Linked DNA regions of Nothobranchius furzeri. The protein of the gene in region 3 purifies or fractionates together with the protein of the main gene of each other region. This does not show direct contact. Links are inferred from orthologs where the notes say so. Each region holds a gene or a part of one and is shown on either strand. Other genes may lie near its edges.

Region 1 (4,198 bases), about 55 Mb from region 3:
CACCCAAAACGGAGAAAACGCAGATCTTCACTTTAGCCAGAGATTTTAAAAAGATCCGTTTTCGTGTGAAAAAACTCCGTTTTCATGTGGATGACAGGCCAAAACGTAGAAAATATCTACGTTTTGGCAGATCCCCGGCTACGTGTGGACAGGGCTTAAGTCTGAAAGTAAACTATTTTGAAGCCTAGAAGTAATCTTGATGGGATTTATATTCAAGACTATATCAGGTTTCATAATAACTAAAGACTGCACATGTGAGGTCCAAGCAAACAGCGGATAAGCTAAAGTTTTATTTCATAAAATGTCAAAAATTGTGGTTTTTCAACAGAACTGTGCAAAAGTCTCAAGTCTTGTTGTTTATTTCTTTATTTCCAAGCACTCAGGCTATATTGTAATCTGTTTTAAAACATCCTTGTAGTGGATCTGGTTTTGTTCCATTTCTGTCTTAATTTGATAGTGTGTCTTTATAGTTTGTTTCTGTTATTTCCTTTGTGGGTGGGGACGATGGGTTTAGTCCCGTATAGTTTGGTAAGTTTAAAATCTACTGTTAAAACTTGAATAAAAAGGCCTTGTTTAAAAAATAGGTCCTGTTCAGAAGTTTTCCAAAGTCATTTTTGAACTTCAGCTGCTTTTCCAACCACATTTGGGAATGTCCTTTAATGGTTCATTAAGCTTCTTTATTAGAAACTTAGGAAATAAATAACGAGGGAGTGTCAATTTTATAGTCAAAAAATGGACAGAAAATTTGAAAGTAGGCTGTTTTAGGAAAAGCTTCACCTGATTGTAATTATTATTGTTGTTGTTGTTGTTGTTGTTATTGTTACTGTTGTTGTTATTCTTCTTGGAAACTGCTGAGCATTCTGAGGAGTTATTTACAGGTTGAGTTCAGAACCAAATGCTAAATAGGGTGTTCGTGTTTAGAAAGGCCTATAATAGCTCATTTACACAATGCATTATGGGTGTTGCAGTTCTTTGCACCACTGCTGGATCTGCAGTGTATCTGCATTTCTTATTATAAAGTAACAACTAGGGATGCACAATATGAAATTTTGGGCCGATACCAGTGTGTGTGTGTGTGTGTGTGTGTGTGTGTGTGTGTGTGTGTGTGTGTGTGTGTGTGTGTGTGTTATTACATACACACACATTTACGCATCATTGTAACATGACTAAACAGTCACACATCACTCTCACCCTCTGAAACTGAAACACAAACAGAAACAAGATGGAAGAAATATTTGTTGCCAATATCGGCCCAGATTTACTTATCAAACTGATACCGACCTGATGCAGATATATAATGTGCATCCATAGTAACAACCCTTTGACTTCGACACTAAAGGTTCCTGACTTGCTGAGGTAAATCTCTGATCTGTCATTCAGATGTGAAAAAGGCTCCCAAGAGAAGAGCCAGAATTGTGTAAACACAAAACAAAACCAGTTCTGAATTGGCTCTTTAAGCTCTGCCGTTACCCGAAGCCTGTCACATACACAACATGTTCCGTTTTTAGCCGAATCTATTAAAAAGGCAGTAAAAAGTTCCCAGTTTGACAGGTACAGATGCGGATTTTCGCTCCAACAAGGTGAAGCTGAAAGAGCCATCAAGCTTAAGGATGATGGATCTCTCTGGCCCTGATTCTTTAGAGACATCCTGACTTTTCTCGCATCTTTAATTCGGACACTTCTTTTGGCCTCAAATGTGTTCATTTTAAAGCAAATGAAAAAAAATGTTTACCTTAAAATTCTGCTATGACCAGAAAATGACAAAAAAAGAATCAAACCTGAGGAGAGAACTGAAGAAAACTTTACAAGAAAGCCCAAATCCTTCAAATTAAAGTGTAAAAAAATAATAGTCTTTCACTGACCACATTCTAACCATTAGTCTGAAAAAGGAAAACATGCATGTTAATGATAGCTTTCAGAAACGTTTTCAGCAGCAGCAACAGGAAATCTTCCTAAACGTGGCCTGAAATAATTTGGAGACTTGCAGGAAACTCGCTGCTGAAATCTGTTGCTCAGTCAGAAAAGTTCTCGGCGCAGGGAAGTTTCTAACTCCTCCAGCTGACGGGAAAAGAAAGTTTTTCTTACACGAGTGAATGTCCTTCCTCAGAACCCAGAACTCAGAGTTGTCCTCAAATCTCACCAGACAACACTGCTTGACTCCGTCTACCTGAGGAGAGCAGACACCAAACATCATCATCATCAGAGTGCTTTGGATCAACACACACACATACACACACACACACACACACACACACACACACACACATACCCGTTTTACATTGCCAAGGTACAGTAGTCCATCACTCCAACGAGCCAACACATCATCTCCCTCACTGACACCCCCCATCCTGAGGAGAGACACAGAGAGGAGAGAGCAGGGCTCGTGTGAAATGGAAATCCGATTTATTTGCTGAACACTTTGCCGCCGCCGCTGCTGACGGAGGGGTTTACAGCCCCGGCATTCTGACTGCCTCTCAGACAGTCGGGTTTTGGTGCAAATGGGTTCAAATCTAAACGCCCCCCCCCCCCCCCCTCCTCCTTCTTAGACCTGAGCATACAGCCTGTATCCAGCACAGTGAAGGATGAGAGTGAGTATACACAACCAGAGAGGAAGATAAATGATTACTGCACACATCAAACACACACACACACACTCACATACACACACACTCACTGCATGATGGTTACTGCAACACAGTTTCACTGAACAGGCAGAGCTCCCTGTGCAGCCACTTGAAGCATCCTCGGTGGACTTTGCTGCTGTCGCCACCTTCTCAGTTTTTAAGAAAACTTAAACAGATGCGTGAAATGACTGCAGACACTGTTCTTTTTCCACACTGCATTTGTTCCGGTGCATGCACTCAGGTCTACGCAGATGCAGGATGCTGAGCAGCATCTGATGGAGGATGGAGCCAATTGGACAGTGAGCTGGCCGGTGAAGGGTACCTGTCAAGTCGAACTCCTTTCCGTCGGGGTCACGGTGATTCCTGGACAGGAAATGCCCTCATCTGCCGTGGATCCCTGCTGCCCAGATTCCTGCCTGCTGCGATGCGCAGCTTTTGGTGGAAAAGAAAAAAAAAAAGAAAAGGAAACAGAAAAGTAGAAGATGTGCATGTATTCTGTGTCTCTGCCAGGCGCCAGTGTGTCAGTCAAGCCGTCAGCGAGGGGGAGGAGGAGGAAGAGGAGGAGGACAAAGGCGACTGTCCGTCTTTCAGTCTAGTTTGTCCGTCCTCCGCGATGCCGTTTCGTCATGTTCCCGTCGCTGTTGCTCCCCCTCCGTCCCCCCCCCCCCCCCCCAGCTACTAATACGGTGCGGGTTTGTCAAAGCTGCGCCGGAATCAAGCCGCCAGAGACGCCATCATCCCTCCCGCTCGCTCTCCGCCGACTTGTTGTGACGCAGACATAAAACACCGACATATCCGACCGAGGAGGGGGGCTCCTTATCGTCTGAGAGCATGACCGGTAAACAGTTGTGACAATACAGTGATGCCTGAGCTCTAAGGGCAGCAGGAGGGCACCACAGCCTCGGTGGAAGCGCGCGTAACAGCGGCCAATTAAGCAGCCAATTAGTGTATTTTCCCGCCTCGTTGATTGGTCTTCAACAAGTTTAGGAGACCGGTGGAGAAAAGTTTAACAGCAGAACACTTTAAAAGGTCTTGTAATTTTAGTCTCTGCTGACATGAACTTTACTCTTCTTTCACAGGTCATTTAAGGACATCAGCGGTATACAACTGATTCTGAAAAGTTTCGTTTTACTCATCATGAGGAACTCGTGCACACTTGCTTCAACATTTTCTCAAAATATGAAACTATACCGATATAAATCAAGTTATCCAACAACATGAGTTAACTTCAAATAAAATGAGAAGTACTTAATAAAAGACCCTAAAATATTACATTAGCTCACTTACGTGCTTACTGGTTAGTTCTGACAAATCCCAGATTGTTCGTGTGTTTATTTCACCAGTCAGACACGAGCACGGTAACACCGCTGGTTCAAAATGGCCTCTGGTAAATATTTCTTCAAAAGAAGGTGAAGTGTTATTTTCAGTAAGTGATCACTAGATGGCGCGCAAACACAAGGAAGTCTGTTGGAAACACTGCAGCTGGAGAATCAGAGAAGATTTGAAAGTGTCAGACAATCATAAATCACGCTTGTGTGGTTGTCAGGAAAATAGACTTACCAAGAGACACCAAA
Region 2 (4,376 bases), on a different chromosome or scaffold from region 3:
TTATTACTTACAAGTCCTGTAGCAACAAAGCCAGGTCACCATCAGTCCATGTTTTTGTTTAGCTCCCTTAAACGAGTGTAGGCTGCGCTGATGTTCACTCTGGTTTTAGCTCTTCTGCTTCGCCTTCACATACATTACTCACTTACTTTTACTTGAAAAGCAAACTTCTTATTGATGATCGGCAAACTGAGCGCCATGTGGGACACTTACCCGCTCCACAAAACTATCAAGGGCGATTTTTAGTCAGCAGGGGGCTGCAGTGGTGCCAAACATGAAACTGGTCAAGTTTCTAACTCAACAATCACTGAGACCAATGTTAAAGCTCAAGCTTAAAGTAAAAAAAAAAACAACTATCAATCGTTACTTTAAACCAGTGTTTCTCAATGCCTTTCCATCACGCCCCCCGGGGAACATATGCTCTGGATCAGAAGGTTCTGTTACCTTTCCAAGCTGTAACTGGTCCCAGTTGGCAGAGACAAAGGCCAGAATCTCATCCAACTCAAAGTATTTCTTCTTGCTGCTGACTGACAGGTTGTAAAGGACAATGTGGACCACATCGACCCACCTGAGGGACAGACGGCGGACATACTCTGACCCTTTGTTGCACACGGCACACAGGAACAGGTAAAACCTGAGAAAAACCAGACAACAGTCAGGATTTTCCACAGGAGGAATTGTGGACTGGATGAAGTTTCCGTCTCTGAACCTGTCTCCAAACATCATGGACTCCTGCAGACACTGAATACACGCCTCGTGGAACCACTGCTGACACTTAAAACACTGCATCATCTTCAGGTACCACCTGCACACAGAACAACATCAGCTGCCGGTTCAACACACCTGGACAGACTTGGTCCTGATTGGTCACACTTACTCTCCAGGACCACCACAGTAACAGTAACACTGCTGCTGATTGGTCCTATGCTGAGAGTCCCAGCTCAGAGAGGTCAGGTCGTAAGGCAGAACCTGCTTCATGGCCCAAAGAGCTTTGGCCAGCGCTCCTTTCTTCAGGGCACCGCCTTTCTGTGATGACACAGGAGGACCGGTCATGTGGGGTTACCAATCAGAGACAGGAAGGAAGGGCAGGAAGGAAAACCGGTACCCGCACAGCCAGAGCAAAAACACAGCGCCTGCAGAACCACGGTCTCAGGTCGCTGCTATCGCCCTCTACTGGAGGAACATGGCACTGCTGGTGGAAACCTGCCAGAGACACGGGTAAAACAGGTGAGGGGACACCATCTCCACACAGCCAGTCTCTGTCCAACCCACCAGACTCACCTATGCCACACTTTCCACAAATCAGAATTCCATTGGTGTGTTTTGATTGGTTCTCAGATTTTGGCTCCACTCCGTTGCACACGGAGCAGTGAGGCTCCTCCCCCGGTATCCCAGCTGTAATGTGATTGGACAGATTTTCATGCATCAGAAGGGAGCCTAAGTCTCCTCCCCTCCCGGTCGGCTCACGAGTCCCCAGAACAAAGAAAAAATGAACGTAAGTGAACGGGGCGATGAAAGCGATTAGGCTTTTCCTCAGAATCACGCGCATGTTGTAGTTCGACTCAAACGAAAGGTAATATTGTGTTTTGGACTATGCGACTTAGGCTCCCCATGTGTGGTTCTGGTCCAGTTGTGTTCAGGTTGAAAGCTCATCATCACATCTTCAGCTGGAGACACCATCTTGATGCCTAATGTAGTCTCCCTAACCCACGTCATGAATATTAATGAGGAAGACTCATAATCCATGTTTTCCGCTGACCCATTCTTCCGATAACCTATCAGGATAATCAGACTAACCGACTAGTTAAAGGGAAAGTGACTGGCTAGTTAGCTAACCGTCTCACCATGTTGGATGTCCTTCCACAGCACCCAGAACTTGGAGTTGTCCTCGAAGGTGACGAAGCAGCTCTGCCTGGGGGAGCTCACCTGTTCATCAGTCAGAACAGCATTTTGAGCTCTCGACCAGTCAGGTGATGCTACTGACAGTGTGATGTCAGGTGTGTCTGAAGCTGGACTCACCCTCTGTATCCTCCCCACATAGTACAGTCCATCTGACCAATGACAGAGCACGAACTGACCAATAGTCAGGCAAGACTCCGGCCCCTCAACATCCTCTGGGATTGGTCCACTAAGACATGCCCCGCCCCCTGGACACACCTGATGTTCCACACCAGAGAAGGCCTGGACCAGGTCCTCAAACATCCTGGGAAGGAGGGAGAGAGAGAGACCGTTGAGCAGAACAAGCAGACAAAAGGCGCGCGCACAGGAACTCTCGGTCGAACTCTGATTCATTCCTGAACTGTCAAGGGGGTTTCTGACATGTGTGAGCATGCGCAGTGCATCCCTCCACCACAGACCGTTAACTAACCTACTAACCACATAACCACCACACCCTGAGCTCGTTACCGACCAGAAACTACCGGCAAGACCCAGTTACAATAAAACGGGGTTAACACTGACGTTTTTTTTAATCACAGACACATAATGAAGCCGACTTGTCAAGAACCGGAGCCGGTTCTCCACTGAGCCGTCTCACCTCATCTGATGCGGGCTGTGTCCTCCTCTCCCGTTATCCGGCGCTCCGAACTGCACCGTTAGCCGCGGAGGGTCACAGGTCCTCCGGCGAGCCCCTTCTGCTCTGTCCCCCTGTCTCTTCTAGTCTGTCCCCGGTCTTCGTCCCTTCCTCCGTCTTTGTCTCTTGGTCTCTGTCCTCACCGCAGTCTCTGCCTTCACTTCAAACTCCCACAATCGCCATTTTTTCATTTTCCCGCGAATCGCAGGATGTTTGTAGATACGTGATGACGCCATATCCGAACCCCGTATAATCAGAATGTATGGCAAGCCGTTTTTACATTTATTAGGCACTCTCAGAAAGCACTAAGTCCTATTTGCTAGTAAAAATTTACAATATTCAGATATCCATAATAGTATTCTTACCATCCCTAACGACCGATTAAAGATGTAAAAGACTACATTGTTATTGTTGTATTTTAGACAGCATTATTTGGCTTAGTTTGACGTAGCAGCAAAACCTTTTACACTGAAAATCTTGTAGCGAGAAAAGACTGTAATTACATTAAAATATAAATATTTCATTTTGAATGTTTCACTTTATATTTTACTATTCTACTTGCAATGACACAACTGAGCACAGTGCAACATGTCTGACAGGCACAACTGAGTCTTGGCTTCAGCCTATTGCACTATCAAATACAAAGAATTTTTTACTTGTTGGTGTACAAAGTTTTTAAAAAGTGGAGTAGTCAGGTGACAAGACATCGCCTTGCAAGGCGGTTTTAAACACCCCCCGACTCCACAGACAAACTGGTACAGCGTGGATGGAGTTAGCGTGTTCTCCGCACCATTAGCTGGCTTTTTACTGAATATTATTCTGTTTTTGTTCATGAACTTGTGAGAAAATACTGAAACACTGTTAAAATGTCACAGCAAATGTCAGTTTTTTATTCATATCTAAAATCAGATTTAAGCAAGGAGACAAATGGAAGAGCAGCGGATCCTTTAATATTAAAACCTCCCTAATATGTAACCAAACATTAGTCATACAGAAACAAGTACCGCCTATAGAGACTGTGAACAGGAACCCATCCGCTGTTTACAGGTAGAAAAAATAGTTGTCACACTTTATTTAACAGGTGAGGACTGATATCAGGTCCTGGCTGGTTTGATGTCCAAGATCCTGGTTTAGGACTCAAGTTTTCTGGGTCGTATCTTCATCTCAGTGAACTGAAGAGAGTACTGCCAGCCGGTCCAACTGGACCACTCAACACCATCAGCGTAGGAGGCGTGGCCTCCTCTGAGGTACTGCCCGTTCAGGTTGGAAGTATGGCAGTTCCGATACCACCACGCCCCCTGATAGTACGCCGCACAGTTGTTCTCAGACTGGTCCTGGTCACGATCTTTGGTGGTGAATCGCATCCCCGAGTGTTTCAGGAGAGAGTCACCTGGAGGAGGCAGAGCATCGGTGTTAAAGCTGTACCAGGAATGTGTGGTAAAGGTAGTACTGTTCAGTACCTGCAGTCCCAGAGTACCCATCCACCAGCAGTGGGTAGCCATCCTCCTCTGGGTTCACAGAGTCTCGACCAACAGAAAAGTCTGAGTAATGAGCAAAAGCTGTGGCGTTGTCAAAGTCGGCCATGTCAATACGTAACTCGAAACCACCCGACCTGGTGAGTGAGTAGATCCTCTGTAGACCTGGGAAGGGGATGGGTCAGTGGGAAAGTTTCACACTGGTCGTGTTTCTAAAAACACACTGCAGAACACTTCTAAAACAAGGTCAAAATCTAAAACCCAAGAAACAGTCCAAAGAGTCCAAAAAACCCCAAAAGGAGTCTAAAAAGATGGGAATAAAAGCCAACGGC
Region 3 (3,738 bases):
GGGTGTCAATGATGCCCTTCTGGACAGCAGTCAGGTCGGCAGTCTTACCCATAATTGCGGTTTTGAGTAATGAACCAGGCTGGGAGTTTTTAAAAGCCTCGGGAATCTTTTGCAGGTGTTTAGAGTTAATTAGTTGATTCAGATGATTATGTTAATAGCTCGTTTAGAGAACCTTTTCATGATATGCCAATTTTTTGAGATAGGAATTTTGGGTTTTCATGAGCAGTATGCCAAAATCATCAATATTAGAAACAATAAAAGGCTTGAAATATATGAAAATCTAATGTTTATCAGTACATTACAGAAAATAATGAACTTTATCACAATATGCTGTTTTTTTGAAGGACCTTTATATATATATATATATATATATATATATATATATATATATACATATATATATATATATATATATATATATATATATATATATATATAGTTTGTTTTGTTTTGTTTTTGTTTCTTGTAGAACTGTTTCCTAATAATTGACAAGAATTTAGCATCTCTGCAGACATCTGGAGAGGCTCTAATTAAGTAAACATGTGTATTTTTCCTTGTTTACCGTTTCAGATTGTGGGCAAAGATCCAGCTAAAAAAAGGTATTATACAAAAATCACAGCTGCCAACTGGCACACACATTACAGCTCACAGTCTTGTTTTGGGGGGTTTTGTCCTTTGTTGCTCCAGATAACTCGTCCAATCAGGTGTACAACTATCAGCCATGTGACCACCCTGACCACCCGTGTGACAGCTCCTGCCCGTGTGTGATGACCCAGAATTTTTGTGAGAAGTTCTGTCAGTGTGAGCACGAGTGTGAGTGTCACCTTTCTCTCCAGCTCCTTGTGAAATCAGGTTGTCTCACATCAACTGTTTTCTTTCTGGGTCGTTGTGACATTTATTTTATTCCCTGAAAGCCGTTTAAAAGACCTCTTTACTGGGTCGGCGTGGATCAGAGCTGCAGGCTGGAATGTGTTTCTGCAGCAGAATAGAAGCTGTCATCTCGTGGGCATAGGTGTTTATCACAGAGCTGCACCTGAAACGAGACACATCTTCTGCGGCAAAATAGTGTTTTCTGAAATGGCCACATGGTGGAAGGAACTTGTTGTTTTTTTATTTAGCTCTCTGGAAAGATATCAGTCCAGACAAAGCAGAACATGAAGTAAACATGTGGCTGAAAGAAGGTTTTAGGCTCAAATTTTCTTCATGTTGTGGTTCGGTCACCTACTCCCCTCCTCCATCTCCTCATTATTACCACACCTTTTCCCGTAGCAGAGGAGCGCCCGGGCCAAACAGGAAGCTGTGCTCATTTCCACATGTGTGCGCTTTAAAGGCTTGGAGAGAAATCAAAGAGATGTCACAAGCTCTGTGGCAGAAATGCAGCATCATCAGTATGAGTCAAACTGCTCCAGCGGAACAAAGCTCGACAAGACAGACACGAAACCCACAGAGGCTAGGAGGAGTTGGGATTTAAAGGAACCACGGAGCTGTCTGGACTTCTTGTTATGGACAATTTCCTTTTACGTAGAAGCTTCTGGGAAGAGATTTCGGATCACTTTTGCTTAAGCTTTGGCTTCATCTGCCCAGAGGGTGTTATGTTACAGTTTTCAAAATTGCATTTGGGCATATCTGCCAGCAGAGGTCTCATGACTGATGAGTCCATCAGCGTAGCCCACCCACTTACCGTCGCTCACATGCTGCAGCTGCTAGATTCAGACGTTCCAGCTGTTATGTTTTATTTTACAGTGTACATTTAAACTTTGTACTTCCTGTCTGTGAACTGGTTTTCAGGCCAGAACCGCTTCCCAGGCTGCAGATGCAAGACTCAGTGCAACACAAAGCAGTGTCCGTGCTACCTGGCCGTGAGAGAGTGCGACCCCGACCTGTGCATGACCTGCGGAGCTGCAGACCACTGGGACAGCAAAGTGGTTTCCTGTAAGAACTGCAGCATCCAGAGAGGCCTAAAAAAGGTTAGTCTGAACATTCCTCGATCTGATATGGTGAGAGTGTGGAAGGTGGGAGCTGGTGGGAAACAATCTGATTTATCTTCTAGCACTTGTTGCTGGCTCCATCAGATGTAGCAGGGTGGGGAACATTCATCAAAGAGCCTGTTCAGAAGAATGAATTCATCTCTGAATACTGTGGAGAGGCATGTTCACTTTGACCTTTATTCAAATGGGTCACAGAGCTTGTGCAAAGTTAATTCTTCTCTTCTTTTTTTTCTGAGCAGCTGATCTCTCAGGATGAAGCAGACCGACGTGGAAGGATCTACGACAAATACATGTCCAGCTTCCTTTTCAACTTAAACAATGGTAAGTTTGTGTTTCTATAGCTTTCCACAGGCAAACAGGTTCAGCGTGTTGACAGAATCCCGTTGTGTCCCTTTAGATTTTGTTGTGGACGCCACTCGAAAGGGTAACAAAATCCGTTTTGCGAACCATTCTGTGAATCCCAACTGCTACGCTAAAGGTGACTTGGTTTGATTTGGATTCAGCGTTTTCCAAAGAGTTGTGTGAGCTGATGTTTTGTTTATTACTGTCCCAGTCGTGATGGTTAACGGAGACCACCGGATTGGAATATTCGCCAAACGAGCTATCCTGCAAGGAGAAGAGCTCTTCTTTGACTACAGGTAGAGTCACGGGCCTTTTTGTGACTCTCCATCAGCTTACAAGTAAATTTTAAAAAAAGGAAAACAAAGCCACTACATATTGTTTATTTAGTGGCTTTTAGTTGTGTATTTTACTAATTTTCTCCTTAATGTTCCTCCCCCACAGATACAGCCAAGCCGATGCCCTCAAGTACGTCGGAATCGAGAGGGAGGTGGACTTGTCTTAGCTTTGCTGCTGTACTTACAACCTGGCTTTTGTTCCTCATCTCTGTCATTATGCAAGCTTTTACTGCATTCATCATGCTGATCAGTGAAATGCATATGCTGTCTTTGGACACGGATATCAGTTTCATGCGTTAGCTGCCGCAGTAGCTTCAGTCAGACGCTCCTCTCATGCACCCGGCATTCTAGATGATGTTGCACCCTGATTGGTCTTCAGAAAAAAGCGTGTCCAGGTTTGACAGCTTGGTTTGTTTCTCAATGAATATGTACAGCAGCTAGCATCACAACCACATCTATGTGGGTTTAAAAAAAATGTGCATTTACGTCAGCGTTTTGCAAAAATTATCAAAAAATTACAGGTAACCCGATGAGAAACCGACTGACTGAATGTAACGTGTTGATGACTCATTGTTTTTTTTTTTGTTTTTTTTTTTTACATTATTGGTACTTAAAGAAATGTGTATATCTGAAATATTTAGCATCATGTGAATATTATCACACATTACCAGGCAAATTAATGGTAAATAAATTAGTCTCAGATTAATTGTCTTCCTTTAAAATCGAATTAAAAAGTGCCAAATAATTCCTCACGTATATGCTAAATAAACTTGCATGTGAAATGTAGCTTGGTTTCCATGTCAAGGTTATAACAATAGTGATGTATGATTATGAGTGTTTGACCAAATATGGGCGTCGCATCATGTGAAACATTCATTTATCATGTCTATAATTTCAGACCCACATTATTGTCCACACTGTTGTTCAGTTATAAAACAAATGGCTCACTACCTTCAAAATAAAAGTTCTCATGGAGCTGAACACAATGAAGTTTATTGCTGTGTACAGTGTATGCTCATAAAAATAAAGGTTTAACTTTATATGATATTAATGCTGTCTGTGTTCTTATGTGC

What was found.
Region 1: the proteins of ezh1 (region 3) and phf1 purify together in Homo sapiens (affinity purification with mass spectrometry; 5 studies listed by BioGRID and IntAct, with this or other methods). This does not show direct contact. The link is inferred for Nothobranchius furzeri from reciprocal best matches to the Homo sapiens genes EZH1 and PHF1.
Region 2: the proteins of ezh1 (region 3) and phf19 purify together in Homo sapiens (affinity purification with mass spectrometry; 4 studies listed by BioGRID and IntAct, counting the BioPlex papers as one, with this or other methods). This does not show direct contact. The link is inferred for Nothobranchius furzeri from reciprocal best matches to the Homo sapiens genes EZH1 and PHF19.

The regions. Positions count from the first base shown.
Region 1 is NC_091745.1:62,322,312-62,326,509, forward strand, and holds the start of phf1 (PHD finger protein 1), read right to left. Parts: upstream 2,811-4,198; 5' UTR 2,680-2,810; coding exon 2,675-2,679; intron 2,349-2,674; coding exon 2,270-2,348; intron 2,168-2,269; coding exon 2,086-2,167; intron 1-2,085. UniProt on the Homo sapiens protein: Polycomb group (PcG) that specifically binds histone H3 trimethylated at 'Lys-36' (H3K36me3) and recruits the PRC2 complex. Involved in DNA damage response and is recruited at double-strand breaks (DSBs).
Region 2 is NC_091750.1:35,547,281-35,551,656, forward strand, and holds the start of phf19 (PHD finger protein 19), read right to left. Parts: upstream 2,811-4,376; 5' UTR 2,539-2,810; coding exon 2,534-2,538; intron 2,201-2,533; coding exon 2,017-2,200; intron 1,924-2,016; coding exon 1,842-1,923; intron 1,393-1,841; coding exon 1,279-1,392; intron 1,201-1,278; coding exon 1,103-1,200; intron 1,024-1,102; coding exon 875-1,023; intron 803-874; coding exon 707-802; intron 632-706; coding exon 442-631; intron 1-441. Other genes in the region: fibrinogen C domain-containing protein 1, read right to left, coding at 3,700-3,959, 4,030-4,209.
Region 3 is NC_091745.1:7,469,760-7,473,497, forward strand, and holds the end of ezh1 (histone-lysine N-methyltransferase EZH1), read left to right. Parts: intron 1-570; coding exon 571-599; intron 600-687; coding exon 688-813; intron 814-1,788; coding exon 1,789-1,967; intron 1,968-2,050; coding exon 2,051-2,146; intron 2,147-2,227; coding exon 2,228-2,309; intron 2,310-2,385; coding exon 2,386-2,466; intron 2,467-2,541; coding exon 2,542-2,626; coding exon of another isoform or gene 2,627-2,630; exon of another isoform or gene 2,631-2,668; intron 2,669-2,771; coding exon 2,772-2,832; 3' UTR 2,833-3,712; downstream 3,713-3,738.